Linked DNA regions of Ovis aries. The protein of the gene in region 1 interacts with the protein of each later gene in a pairwise test. Links are inferred from orthologs where the notes say so. Each region holds a gene or a part of one and is shown on either strand. Other genes may lie near its edges.

Region 1 (15,100 bases):
GTTGATTTACAGTGTATTAGTTTCAAGTGTCCAGCAAAGTGAATCAGTTATATGTGTACATACATCCACTCTTTTTTATTGACTCTTTTTCCATATAGGCCATTACAGAATATTGAGTAGAGTTCCCCGAGCTATGCAGTAGGTCCTTGCTAGTTATCTGTTTTATATATATAGTGTGTATATGTCAATCCCAATCCCCTAATTTATCCTCGCCCACCTCATGAGTGATATCATTTGGTATCTGTCTTTCTCTGGCTCCAGGTCCATTCACGTCGCTGCGAGTGGCATTATTTTGTTCTTTTTTAATGGCTGGGTAATACTCCATTGTATATACGTACCACATTTTCTTTAGCCATTCATCTGTTGATGGACATTTGGATGCTTTTGTTTGAGAATCAAGAATCAATTCTGTAACTTCCGTTTGTCTTTCTGGAAACCTCTTTTTAAAGTTGTTTCCAGCTCACTCTGCATCCAAGTCATTAGGAGTGTGTTCTCTGGCTGAGCTTGTGGGTTGTCTCTTGTGATCTTAGTTTCTCTCCAGCGTTTTTGCAGTGTTTTATTTCTTCAAGTGTGTCTTGAATGGATGAAACTAAAACTCCCGAGGGAGTTTACTTCAACCCCCACATCCACCCATTACGTTAGGTAACGTGAGCGCCTATGACAAATGTATATCAAGTCATCAGTGGTGGGATGGCCTGCCAGTGAGGCTCCTGTCTTCACACGTGACTTCCAAGATCAGTCCGGTAGCTGCATGCTGACAGTAGAGAGGAGACAACCCGGAGGTCCCAAGAACCTAGTGGGTCCCTGGGTGGTTTCCATGTGCTGGGGTCCACATGCGTGCCTTGCCTCTGCTGCCTCCTCACCTCTGGAGTTTTGGCATATGGTTCCCTTATCTGTACCTTTGGTCCAGTGCTGTGCCCTGGAGGAAGAGGAAATAGAAAATTAAGGAAATACTTTTCTTTGTTAGGTGAGTGGTTAGCAATCTGCCTGCCCTGCCTTCCAGGTCCCAGGGCAGGGTGGAGCCAGTGGCTTGGGCTGTAATGTCCTATAGGGATGTCTCAGGCTCTGTTATGGTGATCACAGCTCCATGCTTTCCTCCCACCTGAGACTGGGGATCCTCTATCCCCACCCTGGGTGTATCTTTCGGTGTGTGCCTTCTGGAGATGGACTACCAGCTGCCCGGACCTGCTCCGGGAGCCAGGCTGCATCCGTCTATTCACCCACCTTGTTGTGACCACTCCATCTCTGACCTCAAAGATGGTCAGCTTGCTTCTGAACACAGCTGTGTCTTAGCTGGCCTCTTCATGCACACACACACGTACACTTCTGTTATCATTTGTGGCTTCATGGTGGAGGGACTTGGGGTAAGAGGGGCTTCAGGGTGAGAACAGGGCTGCAGCTCTTCCCTTTCTCTTCTAGACTCTGATCTCCAGAAGGCTCTGGGGAGCCTGGGTCGATTTTGGGGGGTGGCTCTCAGAACAAAAGCTTCCCTGGTGGCTCAGAGGTTAAAGCGTCTGCCTGGAATGCAGGAGACCCAGGTTCGATCCCTGGGTAGGGAAGATCCCCTGGAGAAGGAAATGGCAACCGACTCCAGTACTCTTGCCTGGAGAATCCCATGGAGGGAGGAGCCTGGTAGGCTACAGTCCATGGGGTCACAAAGAGTCGGACATGACTGAGCAACTTCACTTTCTTTCACTTTCTTTCTTTCTCAGAACAAGGAATGTGAGCTTTGGGGAGGCTCTCCCGTCCTTCAGGCCCAGTGTGTGCCTGCTTACCACTCTGCTCCCTAGCTGTAAGTAAAGTGTCTTTTCAGGGCTGAGCTGGACACCCTGGCAGGGACCTTCCTCTCCTGACACCTCCTTGGTTGAGAGCCAAGTGCCCTGGTTTGGAGCTGGTGGGCCACCGGACCCCCAGTTCTGTTCCCTGTTTCTATGGCTGCTTCCTCTGGCCAGTGAGTCACAGCTGAGTTTCCATCACAAGTATTTATTAAACGCCCTATAGAAACATCGCCAGTCTTCTGTTCTATCCTCACCCCTGTGGGTCTTGCTTAGCAAGAAGTCTGGAGGCTGTCTCTCAACGTGGGACCCGACAAAAGGACTGCCCTTCCCTTCTTTCATCCTTCCTGTGCAGACGGGTTGTCGGGGAGGGGTGTGTCTGAAGTCCCCAAGCTATCAGCTGAGGGTACAGTGATAGGTGGGGAGCTGGCTCCTGGGCACGCCAGCCTCGCGGTGTCACTGAGTGCCGGTCTTATCTCTATTTTACCACAAGTAGGAAGGGGGGTCATCTAGGAAAAGTCAGGAAGGGCTATACCTAAGAAGAAAGTCCATAATTGACTACTAACGTCTTCTGTCCAGAGACTACCAGGAATAGCCCCAGAACTGAACAACTGGGGATTGTAGTTGCAGGGAGAAACTGGCATGAGAACTGGGGGGATGTGGGTGAGGGCTTGGTTATTAGGAAATGGGGGCGGCGTTGGGTCATTCCTGGGAGGGTTTTGGAGGCCGGTTTGGCTCTTGATTTGGTGTCCTAGGAAGGGTGATGATTCTGACCAGCATCTTAAATGTCACCTGTAGGGAGGGTGGACCAGGAGGCCGAAGCAGCAGGGGTCACTCCTTTAGCCAGGAGGGGGGGACATTTGGTACCCCATAGCCTAAGTGATGCTTACGTTCTATCCGCGCTCAGACATGGTTAGGGAGGGGTCTGGTTTGTTTGTTTTGACCATGCCACACAACGTGTGGGATCTTAGTTCCTGGACTAGGGATTGAACCTGGGTCTATGGGAGTGAGAGCTCTGAATCCTAACCACTGGACCCCCAGGGAATTCCCTAGAAGGGGTCTGGTTTTGTCCTGTGTGACTGGGCCAGAAGCTCATGAAACTAACTCTATGAAATCAGTTGTATGAAATTCTGTTCAGCACAGCAACCCCAAGGCCCACTGTGAGTGCAGGCAGCTCCTGCTGCTGGCCTGCCCTTCTCTTTCGCTGCCCAGAAAAACAAAACAAAAATCACAGAACATCTTGGTCTGGATCCTTCTAGTCTCTGTACGTATATATCTATTTATAGATCGGGTTCATATCACGTGTTGTGACCGTCTTTCCACATCAACAGACACCTATCCTTATGAATGTACCGTGTCTTGCATGACCCGGCCCCTTGGGTATGGCACTTAAAGGCTGTGATGCACATGTGAGTGGACATTGGGCTGTCATCTGGTGTACTGGGGTTTATTTGGTGTATTGGAATCACTGAAAAACAGAGGGGCTGGAAAGAAAGTGGGGTGAAGTTCCCAGGCAGGAGTGTGTTCCAGATCAGGGGCTTTGGCCTGGTCAGCCGGAAGGACTTCAGCATTCACCCTGGGAGAACCTGGAAGCCGCCCAGGACGGTCGTCTGCTGGAGGGGCATGGATGGACTGCAGGAGCGGGGCGGGGACTGCTGGGTCTCTGCAGACATCCCCCGTGGAGGGCCGGGGGCGGGGGCTGCACACACATATTCTGCTCTGACTGCCTTTCTCTTTTCTTTCTGGGTGGCTGACATTTTCCCTGTATTTCTCCTTTTGTAAAGAGCCTCCTCGTGGTTTGTCTTTCCTCTAGGTCATGTGATATAACCAGCGCCACTTTGTCACATGCTGTAAATAATTCTTCCTGGTTTATTTGCCTCTGGATTTGTCTGGGCGTCTCATTTAGTCTTTACCATTCGTGGTGGAGCGGCTGGATCCTTCACTGTCACATCCTTTGCCCTGTCCCCTCTTGTGGCCTCTGCAATCTTCAACGCCAGCCAGGCTGCTAGGAAGCGAGGTCTCCGCCTGGGCAGGGCTGGGGTGCTTCCTTCGAGCGTCACGAGGCTGCCACCTCTGGGCAACATGACGACAAGGGCGAATCTCCTTCCTGGCTGCCTGACCTCCGCTTCCGCCGCTTTCGGTCCTACCCGCCCCCATCATACCTCGTTCAGGAAGCGGCTCTCGGCAGGTCAGCCCTGGTGCTGGGCCGGCAGATGAACCACATGGGCAGGCTTGTCAGTGTCAAGAAACCCCACCTGTTGCTTCTTTTCTCGCTGGATCCCCTGTGGTGATCATTTTTGTCTCCCAAGAAAACTCTGCATTTGCTAGGTCCTCTGAAGTCCTGCTTTAAATGTAGCCTGTATTGGGGTCTCTGGCTGCTCTAATGTGCACTGCAGACCAGGCAGTTTAAACCACAGACATTCATTTCCTACAGCTCTGGAGGCTGGGAGCCCAAGATCAAGGTGTGGGCAGGGCAAGTTCCCCTGAGGCCGCGAGGGAGAGTCTGTCCCAGCCGGTCCCCTCGGCGTGCAGGTGGCCATCTGCTCCCTGCCTCTTCACATTCGTCTTCTCTGTCTGTCCCTGGGTCCAAGTTTCCCCTTTTCGCGAGGACACTATTCCTACTGGAGTGAGGCCCACCCTACACGCCTACTTTAACTGGATGACCTCTGCAAAAAGGTCACATTCTGAGGTATTGGGGGTCAGGGTTTCAGCATAACAATTAGGGGTGGGTGGGAGGGTTCACAAGTCAACCCATAATATAACCTAAAAAAATGAGTGGCGATAGAAACAAATGTCAGTAAGGTGGTTGGTTACCAGTGGGCCTTCTGCGATGTTGCAGACAACGTGGGCAGCTCTGACTGTACCTTGGATCATTCAGGAACCCCTGCTGGGCAGCTCTGACTGTACCTCGATCATTCAGGAACCCCTGCTGCAGGCCCTGGGTTCAGTGTTTGGGCAGAGAGTGGGGTGGCATGTGAACAGGGCGCAAAGTTCAGGTGGAAGAACTGAGCTCTCTGACCGCGGGCATCACTGTAGCAGGCAGGGTGGAGGACCCCTCGCGGTCCCCAAACCCTGGTGTGGAGGGACCATGTCTGGACAGGGAAGGTAAGATGAAGAAGGTGCTCCTCCCAGGGTGGTTCTGCTCTCAACCTTCCCCGTGGATTTCTGGCAGTGTCTAGAAACAGTTTTGTTTGTGACAATGGGGGTCGGGTCGGGGCACTGGCCGACAGGTCCTTACAGGCTAGCGGCTGCATTTCTGTGACCTGTGACAAGTCCTTTAGAGAAAAGGAGGGGCCTCACCTAGAGCCAGGCTGGAGCCTAGGGGTGGGAGGTGCCATTTCCATAGTGCAGGCTCGGCAGACCCTGCAAACCCTGCAAACCCTGCAGAGGCCAGTCAGATCTGGCTTTGGTGAATCCTGCTGGAACTGGTTTGGGTTCTCTAAGCCCTGTCCTGGTCCTTGTCTGGGTGAGCCCTCGGGTTTTGTAACTACGCATCTCCACGAGTAGCTTGGAGAGAGACCCTTTGCCCAAACACTGGAACTCCCCACTTCATCCAACCCACAGACCAGATAGATGATTGACCAGTGAAAGGTCACCAAAGGATTTGTTTAAGTAGTGGCCCCTTGGGCCACTTGAAATGAAATTTGATTTACCAAGTAAGGACTTCCCACGGGTGGTGTGTTGAGCCATCCTGCTCTGTAAGTGGCCAGTGGAACTCCTGCCCCTTCTCCAGGCATCACACGGCACATTATGTTTAAAAGAAGAAAAAAATAAAAGCAAACACACAGAGCCTGCCTCTCAGCCAGATAGCATATGTAATAAATTATTTGCGTGTCCTTAATCCTTAAACATCGCCAGGGGCCTTCCTTGCCTTTTCCTGGGCTCAGGAACATGAAGTCATTGCCAGGGTCACAGCTAATGGGTCCAACGGAGAACCTGGTTCAAGCCTGAGGCAGCGGATCCAAGCTTTGGTCCACTGCAGTGGCAGACGGCCTCTCCACCTGGGTTGCATCACCCTGGTGGCAGTTCCAGGCGCCTAGCCTGGAGCGCAGCCTGGCTCTGCTGTGGAAAGTTGGTGCGATGGGGGAGTGAGTCGGGAAGCTGTGGATGTGCAGGCCGTGTACCAGATGGGAGGGCTGGCGCGGCCTTGTTCTCAGCTCCACGTGGATGCAGGTAGCTGTAGCTCCTGGGCCTGGCAGCGTGTCTGCAGCTCCTGGAAGGGGCTGCCCAGGGCGGAAGCTCACTCCCTCCTCCGCCTCTCACCCTTTCCTCTAGTTCCCTGACATTGTGGAGTTCTGCGAGAACATGGCCAACTCAGGGAAGACCGTCATCGTGGCTGCACTGGATGGGACCTTTCAGAGGAAGGTGAAGTGTCTGGTCCAGGTCTTGGGGTGGGACCGGGGACAGAGGCCCAGGCAGCGCACAGAAATGGACAGCCCAGGGCGCCCTTGATGCCCACACCATGCCTAAGCCCAGGCACTCAGGCCAGCCAGTCCCAGCTCCCTGGGGTGCCCCTGACTCCACCTGCCTAGGGCAGGTGCTCTGGGGAAAGGCAAGGTCCAGGCTTAGTTTCCTGGCTTCAGGGGTGTGAGTCAGGGTCTCCAGGAAAAGCCCACCCGGCGAAATGAGTGTGCACTCCTCTTTCTGTGGATTGTACAGGCTTTTGGGACCATCCTGAACCTGGTGCCCCTGGCAGAGAGCGTGGTCAAGCTGACGGCGGTGTGCATGGAGTGCTTCCGAGAGGCCGCCTACACCAAGAGGCTGGGCGTGGAAAAGGAGGTAGCTGCCCCCTGCCTTCTCCAAGGGATGGGCGGGTGGGGGGCAGGGAGGGGCGCCTACACCTAGAGGCTGGGTATGGAGAAGGAAGTAGCCGCCCCCTGCCTTCTCCCAGAGGCGAGGGGTGGGGCGCTGCGCCCCAGCCCCGCTCAGTCCAGGCGCTTCCTGTCGCACCGCACGTCAGGTCGAGGTCATTGGAGGAGCAGACAAGTACCACTCTGTGTGCCGCCTGTGCTACTTCAAGAAGCCCTCGGGTCAGCCCGCCGTGCTGGACAGCGAAGAAAATAAGGAGAACTGCCCGATGACACTGGGAAAGCCCGCGGAGGCCGCGGGAGTCCGGAAGCTGTTTGCCACTCATCAGATCCGGCAGTGCAGCCAGGCCAACTGAGGCACTGGCCCCTCGCTGGGGCGGGCGCTCACCCGCCACCTGCTCCCCCCACTCGCCCGCTGTCGCCCCCTGGCGGATGCCGGGCCTTCTTGGAGGAGGAAGTGGCGGGGGGCGGGGTTGGGGCGGGTAGAGGTTTCACCACCAGCAGTTGGCCTGCTGCTGCGCCCTTTCCCAGGCCAAGGAGGCGGCTGGTGGTCTGCACTGCACACTTCCCTCCTTGCCTGCCCACCAGCTTTTCTCAGTTCCCATCCCGGCTGCGGGGCGGCTGCGGGGCGATCGCAGTCTCCCCAAGCCGGAGCTGGCCGCCCTATGGGGCGGGGTCTGGCCGCTGCAGCCATCCCTCTTGGGGTGAGGCCAAGCCGCAAGCTGCTGTGACATCGGCGTCGCCGGCTTCTTCCCCGTTTGTGGCGTTTGCTGTTGAGTTTCTGTTCTCACTGGGAAGTCCATATCCCAGCACCTCTGGCTCAGCGTGGGCCTCTTCCCACGCAAAGACTTGGTCCCTCTGCCTGGGATGGGCTCCTGGCTGCCCCTGGGGATGGCTGGACTTCTTATTTCCTTTGGGGCTGAAAGCCCTTCCTGATCTGGCGATCATTTTCTCCGGAATTACAGCTTCTCCCATGTGGGTGACACTCACCCTGCTCTGGGGCTCAGCTCCCAGGGGCTTGTTTTCTAAGGAGGTGGGGGCTGTGTGTATGTGGAACTGATAACTAATATTAAAATCTATTGGTTGGTAAAAGCCTATTTCTCTTTTAACTGTCTGGGATTCCCCGGGTCTCACTATAGACACCTCTGACATGATTCAGGTATGGGGATTTCCTTTCAAATCTTTTTCTAGTACTCCTGACCCCTTAACCACAAATCTTTTTAACTGAGATATGAGCATCAAGTGTTCTAACAGGCATGTTTGCCTGCTCTTCTGCCTGGGAGGGTTTCAGGTCAAGATGAGTGGATGCAGGAGCCTGGGGCTTGGTTGGAAAGATGAAGCCTTGGTCTGTGCTGCCAGCTGGGGCTGTGAGGTCAGGTTTTATTTTGTGAAACAGACACTTGACAGTTCAGGAGCCAGGAAGACCAGCTCTGCCGTGCCTTGGGAAACGGGCTGTGGACAGCTTATGGGAAGGTGAGGGTGCTCCAGGGTGGGGTGGGCCTGGGCTGTGTGTTCCAGATGGGGCCCCAGTTCCCCACCCTTACCCCAGCTTCTCCCTCTCACTGGCTTGTGGCAGGTTACAGAGGTGCAGTACCACGGTCAGACCATAATCCCCAAACCCTATTAATTTTTACTTGGGGTCTTGAAACTATTGGGGTCCACTTTTGACAGCTCCCTCTCACTGCTCGAAAGGGGAAGCCCAGAGTTGCCTCGTGGGCCCTGGCCTCCTGCCTGAGGGGAGCTCGTTCCCTGGCGTGGGCTGGGCAGTTAGGTCGGCTCCCCAAGGGTCTGAGATGGGCTGCAGGGGTTCTGAGTCCTGTCTACAGGAAGCAGAGGACCCTTGCCCCTCCAGGGGCATGCCAGGACCCTGGCAAGGCGGCCCAGGAAAGCTGTGTTGTTTACAAGCTGAGCACAGTTGCTATTTTAAGATGCTGATGGAGGGCAGCGTGAGGCATGAGACCCCAGGCGGGGTGGGGGTGGGGGGAGTTGCTGGGCTGTGGAGGGGCAGGTTGCCACAACTTAGGTTCCAGAAGGCCTCAGTTGCAGCTTGCACCTTGCACCTCGGTGGAACTGGGAGAGGCCCCACTAATGACAATGGAGACTATGAATGAGAAAACCATTTATTCCATCTCCAGAATTAGTCTAACAGAATCCCAGGGTGCTGTGCGTCCTTCCCCCAAGGCTTTGTAATATACATTCAGAGCAGTCTTGGGGCTGTGGGTGCGTCCGGTACCTCCTGACAGACCTGGGATATTTACATAAAGCTGGGTGTTGTCAGGCAAAGCCCCTCCCTGTGGCCACAGGGCGGGATCAGAGACAGGGTCCCCCGGGGTGGGCACCAGCCCTGCCCCTCGGCTGCCAGGAAGGTGACCCAGAGGCACTGGCACAGAGTGTGACCACAGGTCCAAGCGAGCACACACTTCAGCAGTGAGCACAGCCAGCCGCCCACAGAGCAGGCAGGGGGCTGGGGCGGAACAAACCTGAGTGAGGAGGGAAGGAGCCCCGGCCCAGTGCCCACAGCAGGAGAGAGAAGGCCCCGCAGCCTCGTCTTTGGCAGAGAACCCGAAATGGCTGCCGCCACCGGTGCCTGGACATAGGCCCGGCTCCCGGGCTGGGGAGAGGCTAAGGCACTTGTCGAAAGAGCATGTCGGGCGCCTGGAGCTATTCCCGGTGGGGATGCCGGTCATTAAAAGCAACAAAATGTGTCTAGCTAAAAACCCTTTCCTAAAAAATGCCCTCGAGGAGTGGTGGGTAAAGCCCTTGGGGCACAGGCACTTCAGGGCTCTCTCTCCAGGCCCTGTGTCAGTTCGGACAGGCGCCAGGTGCATAGAGAGGGGCCAGAGGCTCTAGGAGCCAAGCCCTGGGGGAGGAGCCGGGGAGGAGGGGAGGCCCCCCAGGCACTCTCCTCCCTCCCCAAACTGTCCTGGCTGCAGCTCAGTACACAGGGGGCGGCTGGTAGCCCTCGGTGCTCTCGGCATTCTGGGTGAAGGGCGGCTGCTGGTAGGTGTCCGCAGGCATGCCTGGGTAGGAGGCGTAGGCCGTGCTTGGGTCCGGAGTGGGGTCCACGTAGTTCTGGATGAATTCGTCCACTCCAGCCTTGTAGCGCTGGTAGGCCAGGAAGGCCAGCAGGCCCTGCAGGGAGCCCCGAGGTTTGGGTTCCTCAGCCCTGCACCACCCTTCACCAGAGACACCAGGACCCTGGGTCCACTTACCCAGGAGAAGATGGAGAAGAAGCTGAAGGTGATGGCCGCCCGGGCTGAGTCGGCTCCTACAAGCACATCGTTCACCTTGGTGGCCGCCCACTGATTGGTGAGGAAGCAGAAGCCAACGAACCACAGGAAGGTCCAGAGAGCTGGGGCGAAGGCCGGGAGGGGAGGGTTAGCTCCACAGAGGGGCAGGAGGACAGGGGCCCCCTGGGAGCGAGAAGCCTCCAGGGGTGTAGAAGTGTGCTGATTCAGAAGCTGGGCTGGGGACAGGACGCTATCTCTGGGGCTCTGCTCCAAGCCCCACTCAGCTCCAGGGGATTTCAGCAGACGGTTAGAAATCCTTGTGTGCCAGCCTGACCGTGGGTGAGGTCAGGAAACCCGGGGCTGCTCCCACCCCTCCCCAGCCTGCAGTCACAGCCCCCTAGAGCTTCTGGGAACACTGCTGCTCCCGTTCACCCCAAGATCAAGTGGAGGTGCAGCCAGCTGGCCGATACCTGAGAAGAGCAGGTCACCAATGACCAGGTACTTGCGGTCAGTGGCATTGCTGATCTGGGGGAAGTAGATGTCGACCACGAAGAAGAAGGCTGAGGCCAGGAAGGCCAGCACCCCAATGGCGCTGCCGTAGCGGCACGCATCCTCGTTGCGGTTGAAGACGCAGTACTGCTGCTGGGAATCATGGGTGTTGCTGTAGCCCTCGCCGAAGATGCATGAGAACACGATCAAGGCGAAGACCTGAGGAGGAGGCAGGGGAAGGGCTGCGTGCATGCCACCCTCGTGGGCCACACCTCCAGGCAGCACAGGGAGCGGGACCCTGATGGGAGGGGACACTGGCCTCCCCGCTCCTGCTGTTCCCCTGCTGGAGGTCGGTGACCCAGCCTTTCCTGAACTTGGGGATCGAGTCCCCTCCCCACTCCCTTCTCCAGACATCTGTTATAAGGGGCATGGATTCCTGGACTGAGGACAGTGGGGAGTGCAGGGGGATCTCCTGGGAGGGCACTGCCCACCCCGCTGTCTGCCTGGGGGATGGCTCTGCCTGACCACTCCCACTTGTGAGTTTTAAGCAGGATGGCTCACAAAGTCAGAGTAACCCAAGCTTGGAGTCTCACCCCCTGATCACCACCTGCCTGAGTCACCTCTCCAGCGCCCAGCCTCTGCCTGAACACCCAGTGATGGAGAACTCCTCCCACTTCAGGAAAACCATGCCTCTGAACTGAAACTGTGTCCCCAGACTGCCAACTCCCACAGCCCCCTCCAACTCTTCCCTGCTCCAGGCTGGGCTCCCCAGTTTGACCAGTTTTCCTCCTACAAAGAATTCTGGGCTCTTTGGCATCCTGGCCCCTGGCCTCCCAGGGAATCCCTGTTGGCTTCTGCCCATAGCTGGTCCTACCCACACAGGCACCTCAGGTGGGTCTGCCCAGCAGGCTTGTGGACATAGCTCTGTACTCAGACCCTGGAGGCACTGGGGTAGGGGGTCAAGAGGGTGCAGCACCCACAACTCTGGGAGGGGCTCCAGGCCCTTGGGAACAGCCTCACATCACCTGTCTCCACCCCAAACTGAAAGGCTACCGCCCAACCCCGCCGTATGTGAGTCTGGACACCTGGCTCCCTCTGGGACTAGCCCAGACCTCTCCCCCGCCTGCCCTGCCTGTCTGCACAAGGCCCTCTCAATAGGCTCCGGAGCTGGCAGTCACAAGCCCCACCCCCAGCTGGAGATGAAGCCGGAACTCTGGATGCTGGGAGCAGTGTGCCAGCCTGACTCCTGGCACTGCCATCCCGAAACATGGGCATCTGCTCCTGGGGTCAGACCCCCCGGGTCAGGCAGAGTGCGGATGAGGGTGTCACCAGGGCAACTCACAGGGCTCCAGCCCAGGCAGGTGCGGGTGGCTACCTTAGGCCCAGTCCTCTCCCTGTGGGCTCCCTAACACCTTGTCCAGCTTTGAGCTCTGGTTGTCCAAGTGCAGGGGACCTCCCACCAAGCCCCTGCCCCAGTAACCTGGTGCTGGAGCGGCTCACCCAGCTCAGGGGAAGGGGCACAGACTACGGTCACTTGACCTTGGGTGGGGAAGCAGACCCATGGGCTTCTTTTGAGTGGAGGACAGGCTCTGTTTCAGGGAGGCCAAGCCTTCCCCCGAAACCCCCTGCACCCCACGTGGCTTCGGAAAGCCCCCCTCCGGATGAATTCCCCCAGGCTGGGAGTCGCGGCATGCTGGCCACCTGTCCTGGAGCCGCCTCAAACTCCTCCCACTGCCAGCAGGGCGATGGGCCTGCTCCCGGCGGCGCCTCCCGGGCCACCCGGTGCCCGGGCCCGGAGGTGGGGGTGGCAGGGCCCGGGGTGGGGGGCGGCAGGGATCGGAGTAGGGGGGCCGGCGGGGCCCCGGGGTGCGGGTGGTGGTGAGCGGCTGCAGGGTCCCGGGCCCCGCTCGCCCGCCCCGCGCGCGCCGTTCCCACCCCCGGGCCTCGGCCGCTGCCACCTGTCGCGCTCTCAGGCGCGCGGAGGCCCCCTCGCCCTCGCCGCCCCCGGCCTGACGACGAAGTAGGGTCCCCGCGGCCCCGCACCCCGGCTCACCAAGCACACGGCGCGCACCAACACCTGCGGCTGCGTCACGAAGCGTCGCAGGTCAAAGGAGCCGCCCGCCCTGGGCGCGCCGTACGCCCCGCTCTCCATGTTGCCGTCGCCGCCGCCGCCGCCGCCGCCACCGCCGCCGCGGACCGCCGAGGAGCCAGGCGGCCTCCCCGCCCCCGACTCGACTCCTCCCCGGGGGGCGTGGCCAGAGCCGCCCCAGGGACCGAGGGCAAAGTGCCGCCCAAGGCGAGCGGCGGTGCCGAGGGGGCCGCGGGGCCCCGACGGCCTGGCCTGGCTTGGCCTGGCCTGCGCTGCCAGCGACCGAAATCAGTCCAGCGGCCGCCGGCTCATTGTCCAGCCCATGTCTCGGCCGGGTTCTCGTCCCTCTGCGATGCTGGCCCGCAGAGCTGCTGGAAAGGGTTCAGAGAGTCCCTGGGAAGAGAGGGTCGCAAGGAGGGCTCGCCCCTCTGCTCCAGCCACTCTTTGCCCTTGCATCCCCGCCTCCTCCTTCAGGAATCTCCGCTAGACGTCCGTCTGGGTCCCACCTGTCCACGACCCAGGCTCCTATGCACCCTCTTTCTTCTCCCCTGTTCTACCCCGGCCCCGGGGCCACAGTCTGGACCCCTCCCCGCCTGGTCACTCTTTCCTCCTCTCTGGAGCTAAGCCTGCGAGGGGGTCGAGACCACAGTTCAGTTCAGGTGCTTAGTCGCGTCCGACTCTTTGCGACCCCATGAACCGCGGCACACCAGGCCTCCCTATCCATCACCAACTCCCGGAGTTTACTCAAACTCATATCCATTGAGTCAGTGATGCCATCCAACCATCTCATCCTCTGTTGTCCCCTTCTCCTCTTGCCTTCAATCTTTCCCAGCATCAGGGTCTTTCCAAATGAGTCAGTTCTTCGCATCACGTGGCCAAAGTACTGGCGTTTCAGTTTCAACATCAGTCCTTCCAATGAATATTCAGGACTGATTTCCTTTAGGATGGACTGGTTGGATCTCCTGGCAGTCCAAAAGACTCTCAGGAGTCTTCTCCAACACCACGGCCCCTCCCAATCTTCCCGGACCCAGCCCAGCCCGGAGGCTTTGTAGGGAGGGCTTTGTGTGGGCCGACTTCCAGGCCCCAAGCTGCTGTGCGGACAGAAAGGAAGTTCCCAGGGTGACAGGCAGGGGGCAGAGTTTAATCCAGTTCTTTCCGGAAATGGCTCAGAGCCTCCAAACTGGAATGACTGGTGAGTGGGTGGGGAGTGGGGGTTGAGTTTGGGGGTTGGGGGCTAGTTCTCCAGGGGCCTCAGGCTGACTCGTCAGGGAGGAGTTCCAGCCATCCTGGTTGCAGGTAAGGCTTAATGAGGGGGTACTGGCCAGGTGGGGCCCGGAGTCTTCCAGGTGAGCTGGACAGAGGTGGGAGGTGGGGCCAGATGCCATCAGGAGATGGGGCGCCACTCCAGGGAGGAGGAGGGGGGGAGGCAGTGGTCCTGAGTGTGTTGGTGCCTCTGGGCCTTCACATTCCACCCCACCCTCTTCCCAGACCTGGATGGAGGGTGACAAGCAGCTGAGGCAGGGGCTCACTGAGCCCCCTCCTCCTAGAACCTCCCTTCCCCCGCCACCGCCCCCATCCCATCCTAAAACCCTCAAACTAGCACCATGTATGTTTGATGAGGAACCCCAGGGCTGCAAGATCCAGGCTGGTGGGCTTTTCCATCATTCTTTTCTTCATTTCATTTCTTCAAATGAAGGGTCCTTCCACAGGGAGCAAGGCCCAGGGCTCTCTCTCCTGGGGGCTGTACCCAGCCCACATCTTCTGGTCCCAACCTTGATGACAAAGGGGCTGAGCCTCCTGGTGAGGCTAGCACACCTCCCAGCCATCCCCTTCCCAAGGCCTCCAGAGATTTTATTGGTGCCAAGTGCATCAGTGCCCTGGGCAGGAGGAGGGGCAGGAGGCTTAGTCACCCCACTAAATAAAGGGGGACACTGAATCACTTGGAAAGTAAACACTCGCCCCTGGTCTCTACACCTCACATTATAAAAGGGGAAACAGGTTCAGAGAGCCGACATGGCCCACCCATGAGCCTGGGGTCTGGAAAGCACAGATTTGGGAAAAGGATACCTGGAGGTAAGACAAGGAGAGTTTCAAGGACAGACTTCTGGGGAAAGCCCACTGAAGAGGCTGACCAGGTATTACCAAATTGGTCAACCAGGTCCACACTGGGGGTCCTAGCCTGGGCTGAGACCCCCCTGTCTCAGCCAGGGAGCTTCTTTTATTGTTTGGGTTTGCAGAGACACTAATAAAACCAGTGCTGTGACTGGAACAGCACCAGCTTTATTCAGTGGCCAAAGACTGAAGAAGTGGGAACCTGGTTTGTAAATCAATTCAAGCCAATTCCGATGGAGACACTAAATATATAGGAGGGTTGGAGTAAAAGAGAGGGTTTGGAAGAGCAAGAGGAATATTTTATCCAAGAACAGGGGTGTGGTTTGGACCTGAAACTGATGCAGCTCTCCTTTTCAGTCCTTGTCAACCATCCTAGCGCTGGTGGGTGTGTCTTCTAGGTAATCTATAGAGCATATAATAAGCTCTAGATCTATTGGAAGTCTAATCCTCAAAACCCATTGTGGGTCTTGTTGGTGTTAATTCGGGTCTTGTTGGTGTTAACTGGTTCTGTTTTTTTTTTCTTTGCCGCTTCCTCCTGAGACTTAGATAAGAGTAGTTGGTTGCTGTTCAAGAGAGGGGCAGGGGTGTGATTCTAGG
Region 2 (15,017 bases), on another chromosome or scaffold:
TGTTTACTAATGGACTTGAGAATCTTTTCATGTGTGAGTTATCTATAGTTTTTCTTTGAAATGTCTGTTCATGTCTCTTGCTCATTCACTCAACTGTATGTTTGGGGTTTTTTTTTTTAGTTGAGAGAGTCTTCTTGTTTTTCCTGTAATTATAATTACTAATCCTTTGCAGTTATAAAATGGACATATTACTCCAAGCTTATATTTTGTCTTTACTTTTTATGTTATTTGCTAATAAACAGAAGTTGTAACTTTTAACATTTTCTTTTATGGTCACTGCTTTTTATATCCTTACTGCCCTGAATCTACAAAGATCTTCTTTTACATTGCCTTTGAAAGTTTCATAGTTCTGCGTTTCACATTTAAGTTTTTAATCTAACTGAAATATATTTTTTGTGTAATATTTGAGGTGTTTTCTTTTTTTCATAATGTTCTTAAATAATTCTCCAGCACCATTATTGAAATGAGCCACCTCTTGCTGATTCGCATTGCTTCAGTCAGTTCAGTTCAGGCCCTCAGTCGTATCTGACTCTTTGCGACCCCCATGGACTGCAGCACTCCAGGCTTCTCTGTCCATCACCAACCTTTGGAGCTTACTCAAACTCATATCCATTGAGTTGGTGATGCCATCCAACCATCTCATCCTCTGTCATCCCCTTCTCCCACCTTCAGTCTTTCCCAGCCTCAGGGTCTTTTCGAATGAATCAGTTCTACCCGACAGGTGGGCAGAGTATTGGAGTTTCAGCTTTAGCATCAGTCTTTCCAGTGAATATTCAGGGCGGATTTCCTTTAGGATGGACTAGTTGGATCTCCTTGCTGTCCAAGAGTCTGTCAAGAGTCTTCTCCAACACCACAGTTCAAAAGCATCAATTCTTCTGTGCTCAGCTTTCTTTATAGTCCAACTCTTAACATCCATACATGTGAAAGTGAAGTGAAGTTGCTCAGTTGTGTCCGACTCTTTGCAACCCCATGGGCTGTAGCCTATCAGGCTTCTCTGTTCATGAGACTTTCCAGGCAAGGGTACTGGAGTGGATTGCCATTTACTGGAAAAACCATAGCTTTGACTAGAAGGACTTTTGTTGGCAAAGTAATGTCTCTGCTGTTCTATCATAAATTACTTATATATACATATATCTATGGGTTTGTTCCTGGATTTTCTGTTTCATTGGTGTGTCATTTCTTACTAAGTCAACTCTATACTGTCCATCACTGTGACTTTATAAGTTTTTCTGTTAACTCTAGTAACTTCACTTTCTCATTCTTCACAGATGTCTTGGTTCTTTTACACCTGTTTTCCTTATATTTGAGAGTTAGCTTTTCATGTTCCCCCATTTCCCACACACACCGATAAAAACCCCAGAGCTATAGACATATCAGTATCAGTTGACATTATCAGATTACCAATATAGAGATAGTTAATAATTTTCATAGTATTTAAATCTCCCATACAAAGATCATGTATTTAGTCCTTAACATTTTTCACTGAGGTTGATTCATTTTCTCCACAGAAAGCTTGCACTAACTTTTTTTAAAAACTACATTTCTAAATAGTTTTGCTAGTATTTAGACATGTGGTTGACTTTTGCATATAGATTTTTTTATCTGATGATCTCACTAAATTTTTATTTCATTTTTGGTCATTTACATTGCTTTCCATTTATTTATTTTTGCCACGTTTCCCTCCAAGTTTTATTGAGATATAGTTGATAATATGGTATTTAAGGTATAAGACTGATTTGATATATATGTTTATTGCAAAATGATTATCACCATTGCCTTCCATTTTTAAATGTTATAAATCTCTAAAACTTCACTATACAATACAGTAGCCACCATCCACATGTGGCTATTTAAATTATGTGAAATGTGAGGATTCCTGGTGGTCCCGTGTTTAGGATGCTGAGTTTTCACAGTGGAAAACCTGGGTTCAATCCCTGGTCAGGGAACTAAGATCCTGCAAACCACATGGCAGGGCCAAAAATTTTTAAATTATGTGAAATGTGAAGTCTAGTATTTCCCAGGATGTATGAGTAACTCTTAAAACTTAAGAATAAAAAGACAAATAGCCATTTAAAAATAGGCGAAATATTTGAATAGATACTTCTCCAAAGATGTGTAAATGACTAATAAGTATATGAAAAGATGTTTAACATCATTAGCTATTAAGGAAATGCAAGTCAAAACTACTTATTAGGATAGCTGTAAGAAAAAAGATAGTAATATAAGTTTTGGTAAGGATGTGGAGAAATTGGAACCCTCTAAAATTGCTGGTGAGAATGCAAAATGGTACAGCCACTTTGGACAAGTCTTTGAATTCACCAAAAGGTTAAACATTGAGTTACTTTATGGCCTGGCAGTTCTACTCCTAGCCATAATCCAAGAGAAATGACAACATATGCCCACATAAAAACTCATATAGGGACTTCCTGGTGGTCTAGCAGTTAAGAATCCTCCTGCAAATGAAAGGGACATGGGTTTGATCCCTAGTCCAGGAACTAAGATCCCACATGCCTTAGGGCAACCAAGCCTGTGTGCTGCACCCTGCTGAGCCTGCAACTACTGAAGCCTAAGCACCCTAGAGTCAGTGTTCCGCAACAAAAGAAGCCACCGCTATGAGAAGCCCATACACCACCACAGCTAGAGAGTAGTGCCCGCCCACTGCAGCTAGACAAGGAGAAAGCATGTGCATCACAATTAAAACCCAGCACAGCCAGAAATAGTTTTTAAATTATTTTTGGGAACTCATATACAAATGTGCCTATCAACGTTATTCATAACAGCCAAAAAGTGTAAATAACCCAAATGTCCATCAACTGATGAGTGGATAAATAAAATATAGTATAGCCATACAATGGAGTATTAATCATAAAAATGAAGTGCTAATAATGCTGCAACATTGATGAATCTCATGTGATGTACCACATATGATTCCACTTATGTGAAGTATGCAGAAAAGGCAAACCATAGAGACAGATAGTAGATTAGTAGTTGCTGGAGGTTGCAGGTGTGGTGGAATGGGGAATGACTGTTAATAGAAACCCCATACTTAGTGGGATTTCTTTTCAGGGTGATGAAAATGTTCTAGAATTAGATACTGGTGATGGTTGTACAACCTTGTGAATACACTAAAAACCACTGAATTAAACATTTTGAAGGGGTAAATTTGTTACGTAAATTACATCTGATTTTTTAAATTTTTTAGTCAAATTTAAAGGCTTCCATCAGAGAAGGCAGTGGCACCCCACTCCAGTACTCTTGCCTGGAAAATCCCATGGATGGAGGGGCCTGGTGGGCTGTGGTCCATGGGGTCGCTAAGGGTCAAACAACTGAGCAACTTCACTTTCAGTTTTCACTTTCATGCATTGGAGAAGGAAATGGCAACCCATTCCAGTGTTCTTGCCTGGAGAATCCCAGGGACGGGGGAGCCTGGTAGGTTGCCATCTATGGGGTCACACAGAGTCGGACACGACTGAAGAGACTTAGCAGCAGCAGCAGCAGCAGCAAAGGCTTCCATGATAGCTCAGTTGGTAAAGAATCTGCCTGCAATGCAAGAGACCATGGTTTGATTCCTGGATCGGGAAAATCCACTGGAAAAGGGATAGGCTACCCATTCCAGTATTCTTGGACTTCCCTTGTGGCTTAGCTGGTAAAGAGTCCACCTGCAATGCGGGAGACCTGGGTTCAATCCCTGGGTTGGCAAGATCCACTGAAGAAGGGAAAGGCTACCCCTTCAGTATTCTGGCCTAGAGAATTCAGTCCATGGGGTCACAAAGAGTTGGACATGACTGAGCAACTTTTACTTTACTTCGCTTCAGTAAAATTTAAAACTCATTTCGTGTGCTTAGTCGCTGAATTGTAACAGATTGGCCAGTGCAGAAACAGAATATGTCTATCATAGCAGGAATCGAACCATGGTCTCCTGCATTACAGGCAGATTCTTTACCAACTGAGCTATTACGGAAGCCTTTAAATTTGACTCAAAAATATAAAAAATCAGATGGTAATTTACATAACAAATTTACCCTTTTAAAATGTATAATTCAGTGGTTTTTAGTGTATTCACAAGGTTGTACAACCATCACCATTATCTATTGGACAGCACTACTCAAGAAACATTTTAACTTAATTCACTGGGCACATTTCATTTTTCAAATCATTCAGATGACCCATAAAAAAATTATTGTTATAAAAATTCAAGTATTTGAAAATCCCAGATCCCATAGACTGTCACCTGTACCAGTACTTTATCCCCAGGTAAGAATTGTTATCTGTTTGCTGTTTTATCTTTCTGAATGCTTTTCGTACTTTTACATAGATAGGTGTATCTGTAACTAGTTTATAGTTGTTATCAAGTGTTCCCATGATAGTTTGGTTCTTGATTTCTTGGAAATTCTTATGTATAAGTCTTTCACTCAATTTTTCTCATCTAGGTGATGCTGGGAACAGAACTCCAAAAGACCAGAAGGTAACTTGAAATGAGTAAGAGAAGGATGAGAGAGAAGAATATGAAGATAGAAGAAACTTTTGGCCTAACCGTTAAGTCAGTTCAGTCATCAAGATATAACCAGTCACCCTGAAGTCAGCCCCATGGGTTGCAGTTCTCTAATGAATGTTATAAGAATACAAAAGCTCCTTATAGATACATGCACTGAATGCTGTATGAATATAGAATTTGGCAGTGATAAGCTAGATTAATTAATCAAGGAAAGCTTCCTAAAGCTGATTTCTGAACCAGATTTGTAAGAAAGGGCAAGTTTTGCCTGATAGAGTAACTATAAGCTTCTAGAAGTAACTGTAAGCTTCTAAACATAACTCAGTCTGTTTCATTTTTTAAAAGACAAGTTGTTATTCTCAAGAAGCGGTGCTACTATTTTAAAACTTGTTTCTTTTGTCCCCTTCCTCACAGCTCCGTGAAGCTATGGCTGCCTTAAGAAAATCGGCTCAAGATGTCCAGAAGTTCATGGATGCTGTCAACAAGAAGAGTAGTTCCCAGGATCTTCACAAAGGTTAGAGTCAGGAGACATCTTGGTATAGGTGCAGGGGTGAAGTCCTACAGAGATTTCATGGATACTGTGTTTTAATGTTTCAGTGTCTTTCTCTACCTCTGTAGGATTCTTTTAATACCACTTGCTGTTTGCTTAAGTCTTTTTTTTTTTTGGCTGTATCACTCAGCTTGTGGGATCTTAGTACCCTGACCAGGGATCGAACCCAGGCCCACAGCACTGAAAGTGCGGAGTCCTAACCACTGGACCACTGGGGAAGTCTCTTGGCTTAAGTCGTTTGTCTGATGGCTTTCTACCATGTGATGGCTTTGTCCAAATAACTTTTTAGCTCCGTGCTCATGATATCTTCTTTCAGATGAAGGTTAAAGAAAACAGTAACTCAAACTGTAAAAAAGAGGTCTGAAGGAAGCTTTCTTTGTAGAATGCAGCTATTAAGAGATCCCTCCCAGGAAAATGATTTATAAAAGCTGTGCTGTGCTTAGTTGCTCAGTTGTGCCAGACTCTTTGCGATCCCATGGACTGTAGCCCGCCAGGTTCCTCTGTCCATGGGGATTCTTCAGGCAAGAATACTGGAGTGGGTTGCCATGCCCTCCTCCAGGGATCTTCCCAACCCAGGTATTAAACCCAGGTCTCCTGCATTGCAGGTGGATTCTTTATGGTCTGAGCCACCATGCTGCTTGGCATTTAATGAGTAATAGTTAATGTTGTTAATAAGGAGTCAGAAATATTTGGTTACAGTGAGATGGTCTTGAGTTACATGTGAATTTCAATTCATATTTTTCCTGTTAGCATAAAGAGCTGAGTCCACTGTGTCTTATATATCTGCCCTTGGCCAAGGGAGCAGGAAAATTGGTTAAGGATCAGTGATTACCCCATTTGTCCCAATAACCCAGTACCCTCTTTATTTTCCATTCTTTCCCCAATCTGTGCCATATCTCTTTAGAGCAACTTTGCTTTCTTCCTAGGAACCTTGAGCCAGATGCCTGGAGAACTGAGCAAAGATGGTGACTTGGTCGTCAGCATGCGCATCCTCGGCAAAAAAAGAACTAAGACGTGGCACAAAGGCACCCTTATTGCCATCCAGACGGTTGGTATGTTCAGGCTAGAGGGAGGGCTAATGCAAGAGCCTGCAGGCCACCATCACTGATCGTGTCTTTTCCCCAGAGCCTTTGGCTTTTGTCTCTCACATAGCAATCAGGATCCACACAGAAACTGATGGTTTCTAAAAATTTTTGTTTCTCTTTTCCGTTTGACTCAGGGTCAGGAAAGAAGTACAAGGTGAAATTTGACAACAAAGGAAAGAGTCTTCTGTCAGGAAACCACATTGCCTACGATTACCACCCTCCTGCTGACAAGTTGTATGTGGGCAGTCGAGTAGTGGCCAAATACAAAGATGGGAATCAGGTCTGGCTCTATGCTGGCATTGTAGCTGAGACACCAAACGTCAAAAACAAGCTCAGGTACCTAGACAGAAATTGTAAGGAGAGTGGAAGCCAGGAGCAGGTCATCTGCCCTGTTTAAGCCATAGTGCAGATCTCACAATTGGCTCTGATGTTCTTAGTCCTCAGTGGCTGGAAACTCCCTCTTTCCTTTGCCACAGAGTCATGTGGGTGGTTCTTTCTTGCTCCCTTCCCCCCTTTTTTTCCCTTTTCTCAAAGAGAAAATTTGGTCAGGGGAGAATAATCCAGATTGATTAATGGTTAGGGGAACAGAGAATTCATACAGAAGGAAGAAATGGAGACTAAATGTTTTTCAACAATGTGAGAGTCCAATAGTATAACAAGAATAAATCACTTTTGGGAAAGTGGGGATATGTTGGTTAGATTAAGAGAGAATTCTAATATTCTTTTCCATTGTGATTTATTACAGGATATTGAATATAGTTCCCTGTGCTATACAGTGGGACCTTATTGTTTATCCAGTCTATATATAATAGTTTGCATCTGCTAACCTAAGGGAGAATTCTTAACTCTTGGGGTGGAAAGAAAGAATAGTAGAAAGAAAACAGTACACTGGAACATGTTCCCTGGATTGTGTCTTGTTTGTGATCCAGAGGAATGGAAGCTATAATAATTTCTGGTCATGTTAAATATAGTAACCCCCAGTCTTTCTACCATCACTCTTTCCTTACAGGTTTCTCATCTTCTTTGATGATGGCTATGCTTCCTATGTTACACAGTCTGAACTATATCCCATTTGCCGGCCACGTGAGTGTCCCTCCTTTTTTCCTTAGCTCTTTTTGTTTCCTCTTCTACCTTCTATTTCTTAAGACAACCAATGGAAAAGCCCTAATGTTCTTGGTGTTTTAGTTTCAAAGAGCATAAGTTTGATTCATATTTTTTGAGAGATACAGTTTTATTTGCTCGTGCCTAGTGTTAGGTCTTGGCAGCCATAGAGTCAGACATTAGAAGATCATGACTGATTTTGAGTGGATGCACGTATTGTAGATGTGTTTTAGTTTCATTTCTGAGTGATTTAAGTTTGACAAGATGTTACTTCTCTCCTAGTCTCATGTTTAACATTTGTGTAAATCTGTAGTCTGTGCATTGCTTTCAGAGTGCTTTCTACAGAACCTGTATTAGATGGGGTCTTCATAGTTTCCCCTATACTTGTGATTCTGGCTTAGGAGAGACTCTTATAGAAGCAACTGTTTTTAGTTGCAGGAAGGTCAAGTGAAATGGCTGTTTCCACATAACATGGCAGTGAATACACTCAGGGTCCTTTGAAAGCCTGATGGAGCATGAGAAGGAAGGACAGGATTTTTTAAAATCAGTTTATGGTGCCTCCTGATTCTTTTTGATTTACCTTTAGGCTTATCAAGTAAGCAAGAATTTCCACTTGACTTTTCCTAAGAGGAAACATCCATTTCTAGGAAATGAGTGACTCACCTATGTTTACATACTGCTGATTCAATTAGTATTTGCAGAATTTGAGTGTGCATTTGCACCTTAGGTTCAGTACTTTTAAGTGGTCATGGTTTTGCTTCCCTTGAGGTTATGATTTCTTCATTTATTTTTTCTCTCCTTCCCAACTTGAAAAATGCCAAACATTTCCTTGTCAACCCTTTCCCCCTATCAAGACATGCCCTACCTGCCCTCTCTCAGCCCTCCTTCTTCCTTGGGACAGTGAAAAAGACTTGGGAGGACATAGAAGACATCTCCTGCCGAGACTTCATAGAAGAGTATATCACCGCTTACCCCAACCGCCCCATGGTGTTGCTCAAGAGTGGCCAGCTGATCAAGACTGAGTGGGAAGGCACGTGGTGGAAGTCCCGAGTCGAGGAGGTGGACGGCAGCCTAGTCAGGATCCTCTTTCTGGTACTCTTCTTAGGAGTCTTAGAGGCGGGGATTTGGGTGGGATGGGGGAGCATAGGATAACTATGGCATATGTAGCTATGCCATAGTTTTTCTTCTTTGTTACTCTCTTACCTATTCTCAGTTTTGGGTCATATTTTACTTTTTTTTCATTCCTCTATGCATGGTTATTAAAAATAAAGTCCCTGAATTTAAGACTCTAATCTGCACGATAGTGTTTTTGTTTTTGCTTTTCTCCAGGAGTATCCACAATGCATGTAGATACAGAGAAGGCTGCTAGTTCTGTTTTCCCAGGGTTATTGATAATATAATGGGACAAAAAAGAAGGATCAGTGAATTCTGAGGTGTTGATGATCTTTCAAGGCCCAGCTTAACTCTTAAATCTTCTCTACTTGTCCTTTTCTCCCCTCTCACACCTTTCTTAGAATTATATTTCTTCTCTGAGCTATCTCAGCCCTTTGATCCTAATGAACCTTGTTATATGTCTTATACTCAGTATAAACATCTATCTCTTGTCATTTTTTTAAACAAGAAATATGTGTTTTTGTTTTGGGGGGTTTTATTTTTGTTGTTTAATTCCTGATGCCTGTTGTGGAGCCTAGCACATAAATTTATTGAATAGATAGGGAATTGGGCGTTCATCAGGGAGATTTCCCCCAAGGGAGGCACATGGTATTCTTCACAAGTGGCAGGGTAGATTCTGGCCTTTAACCCATTCCCCTGCCGCCTTTCCTTACTTGCGATCCCCTAGGATGACAAAAGATGTGAATGGATCTATCGAGGCTCTACACGACTGGAGCCCATGTTCAGCATGAAGACATCATCCGCCTCTGCACTAGAGAAGAAGCAAGGGGGACAGCTTAGAACACGTCCAAATATGGGTAAGTCCTGAAAGCTATCTGGGAGAGGGAAAAAATGGACAAATCAGCAAAGAGGTATATGTACGATGGCTATATCCTTTGTTTACCAGGATGACGCTACTGCCACATTGAAAACAGGACATGTTCCTAAGTTTCCAGTAGTGGTGATGAATTTGTGTTGCTGCCTCAACATACTATGGCTCTGATTTGTTCTCAAAAACACATAAAAATCTGAAACAACTAGCTTAGGTTAGGGGTATTGTTGGTAGTAACTACCTCTGTTATTTACATGAGGATTATCTGCTTTGTGTGTGCTATCTGTGGTCTTTTTTTTTTTTTTTTTTTGGCTGCGGTGCTCTTCATTGCTCAAGGACTTTCTCTAGTTGCAGCTAGCAGGGGCTACTCATCATTTCAGTGTCCAGGCTTCTCATTACAGTGGCTTCTCTTGTTGCAAAGCATAGGCCCTAGAGCATGCGGGCTTAGTAGTTCTGGCTCCTAGGTATTAGAGCACAGGCTCAGTAATTGTGGCACACGGGTTTAGTTGCTCTGTGGCATATGGAATCTTCTCAGTTTAGGGATCGAACCCATATCCCCTGACTTCCAGTCTTAATTTTTATCCACCATGTGTGATTAACTTGTTTTAAAATTTTGGTTTTGTCTTTATATGTTCCTGGCATACGTTTTGGTTAATTTTTCTTGACAACATCAGTTGATCAGAGAATGTATTTTTGAAAATTTTTACCAGAGTATAACATAATTGGCTTCCCTGGCAGCTCAGTGGTAAAGGATCCATCTGCCAATGCAGGAGACACAGGTTCAATCCTTCAGTTGGGAAGATCCCCTGGAGGAGGAAATGGCAACCCACTCCAGTATTCTTGCCTGGGAAATCTCTCGGACAGAGGAGCCTGGTGGGCTACAGTCATAAGGTCACAAAGAGTCAGACATGACTTAGCAGTTAAATAACAACGACAGCAATAGAATAATTATTAATGTAAATTGTCCGAGGCAGGAAGATAAAATCTTACTATTTAAATGAAAGTCAGCCTGTGCCAATATTCCCACTCATTGGTATAAATAATGAGATCTAACAGTCTTAGCACTTAGAATATTTCCATTGTTGCTTTATTATATAAATTGAGAATCAAATCTGTGGATGAATATAAATGGCACAGCTCTTAGGTTCTCTATGGTCAATTTCCTTTTCTTACAGGTGCTGTGAGAAGCAAAGGTCCTGTGGTCCAGTACACTCAGGATCTAACAAGTACTGGAACCCAGTTCAAGCCTACGGAACCCCCACAGCCGACAGCCCCACCTGCCCCACCTGGTCCAGCTCTGTCCCCCCAGGCAGGTGACAGTGAGTGAGTGCTATTCCTTCTTTTTCAGCAGTTTCTTTTATATTACATTTTCTGTATCCCTTACTGTATGATCTCTAATCTCCTAGAAGCTTGGAAGGCCAGCTTGCCCAATCTCGGAAGCAGGTAGCCAAAAAAAGCACATCTTTCCGGCCAGGATCTGTGGGCTCTGGTCATTCCTCCCCTACATCCCCTGCACTCAGTGAAAATGCCCCTGGTGGGAAACCTGGGATCAATCAGACATATAGGTGAGAAAATCTCAGGCTCTCTGTTGGGAATGTTGGCAGTGTGGACTGAGTGGTCACTATATGGGGAGGTTCCTTGGCCACAAGGGGCCTCGTTAAGATTATGACGGTGAGAAGTTTGGACTTGAAAGCTTTAACCTTGGAATTTTCCAGGAAACAAAAAGTAAGAATAATTGAATTAGAAATTAGGTGCCTAGAAATACAATCACCAGAAAGTCATTTGTTAAGACTGCTTTTTGAACGTGGTGTCGTCATCGGTACCATAGAAAGGGAATTTGGTAGCCTCTTTCCTTGAATCCTGGGGGTCAGTACGGGCATTTATAGGAAACATAGCAGGGGAAACAACTAGCATGGATAGAAGACTGGATGCTAGTCCCACAATTCACAGGAAAAAATAAAATTCACAAAAAAGACACTGTTGAAACAGTTATTATCAGTTAATGAAGAGTAACCAGGGTGTTTCATTGTCCAGTAAGGCAAGAGGAAGTTTGACTTACTTGTGTCATCTTTAGCTTCAAGCGTATAGCTGTTTGACAGGTTAGAGAAGTGGTTTAGCCAGCTAATGGGCTACTTATACAGCATAGAGGTCCTGTTGCCTTCTGATCTGATCTCTTGCATCTCATTTTCAGGTCACCTTTAGGCTCCACAACCTCTGCCCCAGCTCCCCCAGCTCCCCCAGCACCCCCAGCCTTCCATGGCATGCTGGAGCGGGCCCCTGCAGAGCCCTCCTACCGTGCCCCCATGGAGAAGCTTTTCTACTTACCTCATGTCTGCAGCTATACTTGTCTGTCTCGAGTCAGACCTATGAGAAGTGAGCAGTATCGGGGCAAGAACCCTCTGTTAGTCCCACTACTCTATGACTTCCGGCGGATGACAGCCCGGCGCCGGGTCAACCGCAAGATGGGCTTCCATGTTATCTACAAGACACCCTGTGGCCTCTGCCTTCGGACAATGCAGGAGATCGAGCGTTACCTTTTTGAGACTGGCTGTGACTTCCTCTTCCTGGAGATGTTCTGTTTGGATCCGTATGTTCTTGTGGACCGAAAGTTTCAGCCCTATAAGCCTTTTTACTATATTTTGGACATCACCTATGGGAAGGAAGACGTTCCTCTATCCTGCGTTAACGAGATTGACACAACTCCCCCACCCCAGGTGGCCTACAGCAAGGAACGGATCCCGGGCAAGGGTGTTTTCATTAACACAGGCCCTGAGTTTCTTGTCGGCTGTGACTGCAAAGATGGGTGCCGGGACAAGTGAGTTGGTTAGGGAATTGTGGCCCTGCCTCCAACTTTGTTGTGGTTTCCTTTATTTCCACCACTTTCTTTGCCTTATACTGCACTTCTCCTTTCCTCACCTTCCTTGATCTGCTTTCTTAGCTGTAGCTCCTTCTGAAAGGCCTCCAGAGAGGCTGGGACCCCGCAGCATAATCCTGGGTACATGTTTAGATAACATTAGACTCATTGGACATAAACTTGAACATACTCCGAGAGATAGTGGAGGACAGGGTAGCCCAATATGCTGCAGTCCGTGGGATCACAAAGAGTCAGATACAACTTAGCAACTGAACAGCAACACATGTGTCTTACTTTTGTTTTTTTCTCTGATTCTCCTTTTCCTTTGCTTCCCTCCATCATGCATTCAGTTGCTAGTTGTGTCTCTTTATCTTACTTTGTCATATTCCTACTGTCTTTTCCTTTCTCATTTACACGTATGGGAGAAGAAAAAGAAATTTTACTACCCTGTCACCCTCCTTTTATCAGTAGTACTTCTTGCCTCTGAAGAAAGTCTCACAGCTCTAGTAGTTGAACCCTTCTGTTTTATACAGGTCCAAGTGTGCCTGCCATCAGCTAACTATCCAGGCTACAGCCTGCACCCCAGGAGGCCAAATCAACCCCAACTCTGGCTACCAATACAAGAGACTAGAAGAATGTCTGCCCACAGGGTAAGTAGTCAGGGGAAAGTTTAGCACCTCAGGGACTGAATTCTTGTTTGTCTGTGTTTGTAGGAAATAGCAGCATTATAAAATTGAAGCCAAAAACAAACCTTAAACAGACATTTAATCAATTAAATCTTACTTACCAAATTCCCAGCACATATTTCTTCCTTGGGCTTTCCTTGAAATGAATGCATATAATGATTGAATAGTATCTAGTAGTTTTCTGTTGCAGTAAAATATGACTTTGATTTCATAGCTGTATGATTATTCTAACAGATTGTGGTTTACTCTGGCAAGTGAGACATACTCAAAGAGGAGAAGTAGGCAGGGGCCTGATTTATAGGACTTTGTAAATCAGAATAAAAATTAGAACCAAATTCATGATGTGATAGGAAGCTATTAAGACTATTTTAAGCAGATAACCGATGTCTGCCTTTTAAAGATTACTCTAACTTCTCTGTGAAAAATAACCTTTAGGGCAGCAGCAGTAGACTTTGGAAGCTCAATTAGGTAATTTCAGGAACACAGGTGAGAAGTGGTGGTTGCTGGGGCTTGTCCTAGACTGAAAGTGGCAGTAGAAATGAGAAAGGATAGATACCACAAAAGAGAAATGAATTCACAGTGACTTCAGCCTTCTCAAAATAATGTTAGACACTAGATGGCAGTTGAGGAATCTATTCAAAATTCTAAGGAAAATGATTTTTAAAAAATAATTTTATGTGTTTATTTTTGGCTGTAGTGGGTCGCCCTTGCTGCGCAGACTTTTCTCCTGCTGTTGCAGGGGAAGAGCTGCTCTCTAGTTGCGGTGTATGGGCTTCTCATCGCCATGACTTCTCCTGTTTGCAGACACAAGCTCTGGGGCTCACAAGCTTCAGTAGTTGGCGGCACATGTGCTCGGGGGATGCACTTGGAGATAGAGCTACAGAACATGATAGATTGACTATGGAATGGGAGGGAGAAGAGAATCAAGGACAAGTCCTAAATTTTATACTTGAACAACTAGGTGTATGTTGGTTTTTGTACCAAAATGGAAGACTAGAGCTAGAGTTGCAGGTCGGAGTGAAATTCAGCTGTTCTGGCCACATTAAGTTTGAGGTGTCTGTTAGGCAACCCAGGTGGAAATGTCAAGAAGGCATTGAGATTTCTAGAGAGAACTGTAAGGACTGGCATAAAGAATTAGGAATCGTCAGCTCAGGAGTGGTAGTTACAACTTGGATGAGTTCATCTGGAAAGACCCAGAAGGTGCCCAGAAGTAAGTCCTGGGATCTGCAACTGGAAATTGGACAGAGGAGATAAAAACATGTGAGACTAAGAAGAGACATGAGATCAGCATGTGGGATTGAGAAGGACAGGTAAGGCAGAGAGAGGACTGAATAAAGTGGGATATAGTGTGGTAAGCTGGATATATATGAATATGTGACCTAATTAGCCTAGTATGTAAGAAATACATAATTAACAGAAAGGACAAAGAGGAAAGAATGATCAGTGAAATAATTCAGATGTTTCCCCATAATGAAAGGGTCTGTGTTTCCAAAGTGAAATCAAGTTCTAGCATAACAGATGAAAATAGATGCCCACTAAAGCACATGATAAAACGTGATCATTACATCCACAGAACACTGAGGACAAAAAGGAAATACTGAAACTTTCTACATAAGAGAAAGATACCACAAAAAGAATTCAGAGTAACTTCAGCCTTCTTAAAATAATGTCTATAGTTAGATGGCAATTAAGGAATCTATTCCCAATTCTAAGGAAAATTATTTATTTTATATATATATAATTTTTTTATTTTTGGCTGTGCTGCGTCTTCGTCACTGCACAGGCTTTTTGCTAGTTGTGACGAGGAGGGTGCTACTCGGGTTGCAGTGCACAGGCCTCTTGCCACGGTGGCCTCTCCTGTTGTCATAGCACAGTGTCCAGTGCGCGTGGCTCATAGTGGTTCCCGGGCTCTGGAGCACGGGTGCAGTAGCTGTGGTGCATGGGCTTAGCTGCTCTGTGGCATGCGAGATCTTCCCAGATCAGGGAGCAAACCTGTGTCTTTTGCTTTGGCTGGCAGATTCTTTACCACTCAGCCACCAGGGCAGCACAGGAAAATTATTCCTAACCTAGAGTTCTAAACCCAGGAAAGCTGTCAGTTGTGGGTTAAAGTAGGCTAACATTTTTTTAGACATGAAATAACCTCAAATTTTTCCTTTATTTCCCCTCAGAAAACTACTGGAAATGTTCTAAGTGAGGGGGAAAGACAAGAGAGAGGAAGGCACATACTGATCCGGGAAACAGTGGATCGAGCTCTAAAGAAGAGTG

Evidence for each region.
Region 2: the proteins of TK1 (region 1) and SETDB1 interact in a two-hybrid assay, tested with the Homo sapiens proteins (2 studies listed by BioGRID and IntAct). The link is inferred for Ovis aries from reciprocal best matches to the Homo sapiens genes TK1 and SETDB1.

The regions. Positions count from the first base shown.
Region 1 is NC_056064.1:53,315,213-53,330,312, forward strand, and holds the end of TK1 (thymidine kinase, cytosolic), read left to right. Parts: intron 1-1,487; exon of another isoform or gene 1,488-1,559; intron 1,560-6,050; coding exon 6,051-6,140; intron 6,141-6,434; coding exon 6,435-6,554; intron 6,555-6,735; coding exon 6,736-6,939; 3' UTR 6,940-7,675; downstream 7,676-15,100. Other genes in the region: SYNGR2 (synaptogyrin-2), read right to left, coding at 9,360-9,715, 10,284-10,521, 12,356-12,454. UniProt on the Homo sapiens protein: Cell-cycle-regulated enzyme of importance in nucleotide metabolism. Catalyzes the first enzymatic step in the salvage pathway converting thymidine into thymidine monophosphate.
Region 2 is NC_056054.1:100,894,504-100,909,520, forward strand, and holds part of SETDB1 (histone-lysine N-methyltransferase SETDB1), read left to right. Parts: intron 1-4,430; coding exon 4,431-4,465; intron 4,466-4,906; coding exon 4,907-5,006; intron 5,007-5,968; coding exon 5,969-6,094; intron 6,095-6,261; coding exon 6,262-6,463; intron 6,464-7,136; coding exon 7,137-7,210; intron 7,211-8,129; coding exon 8,130-8,320; intron 8,321-9,068; coding exon 9,069-9,198; intron 9,199-10,387; coding exon 10,388-10,535; intron 10,536-10,618; coding exon 10,619-10,777; intron 10,778-11,403; coding exon 11,404-12,027; intron 12,028-12,599; coding exon 12,600-12,716; intron 12,717-15,017. UniProt on the Homo sapiens protein: Histone methyltransferase that specifically trimethylates 'Lys-9' of histone H3. H3 'Lys-9' trimethylation represents a specific tag for epigenetic transcriptional repression by recruiting HP1 (CBX1, CBX3 and/or CBX5) proteins to methylated histones.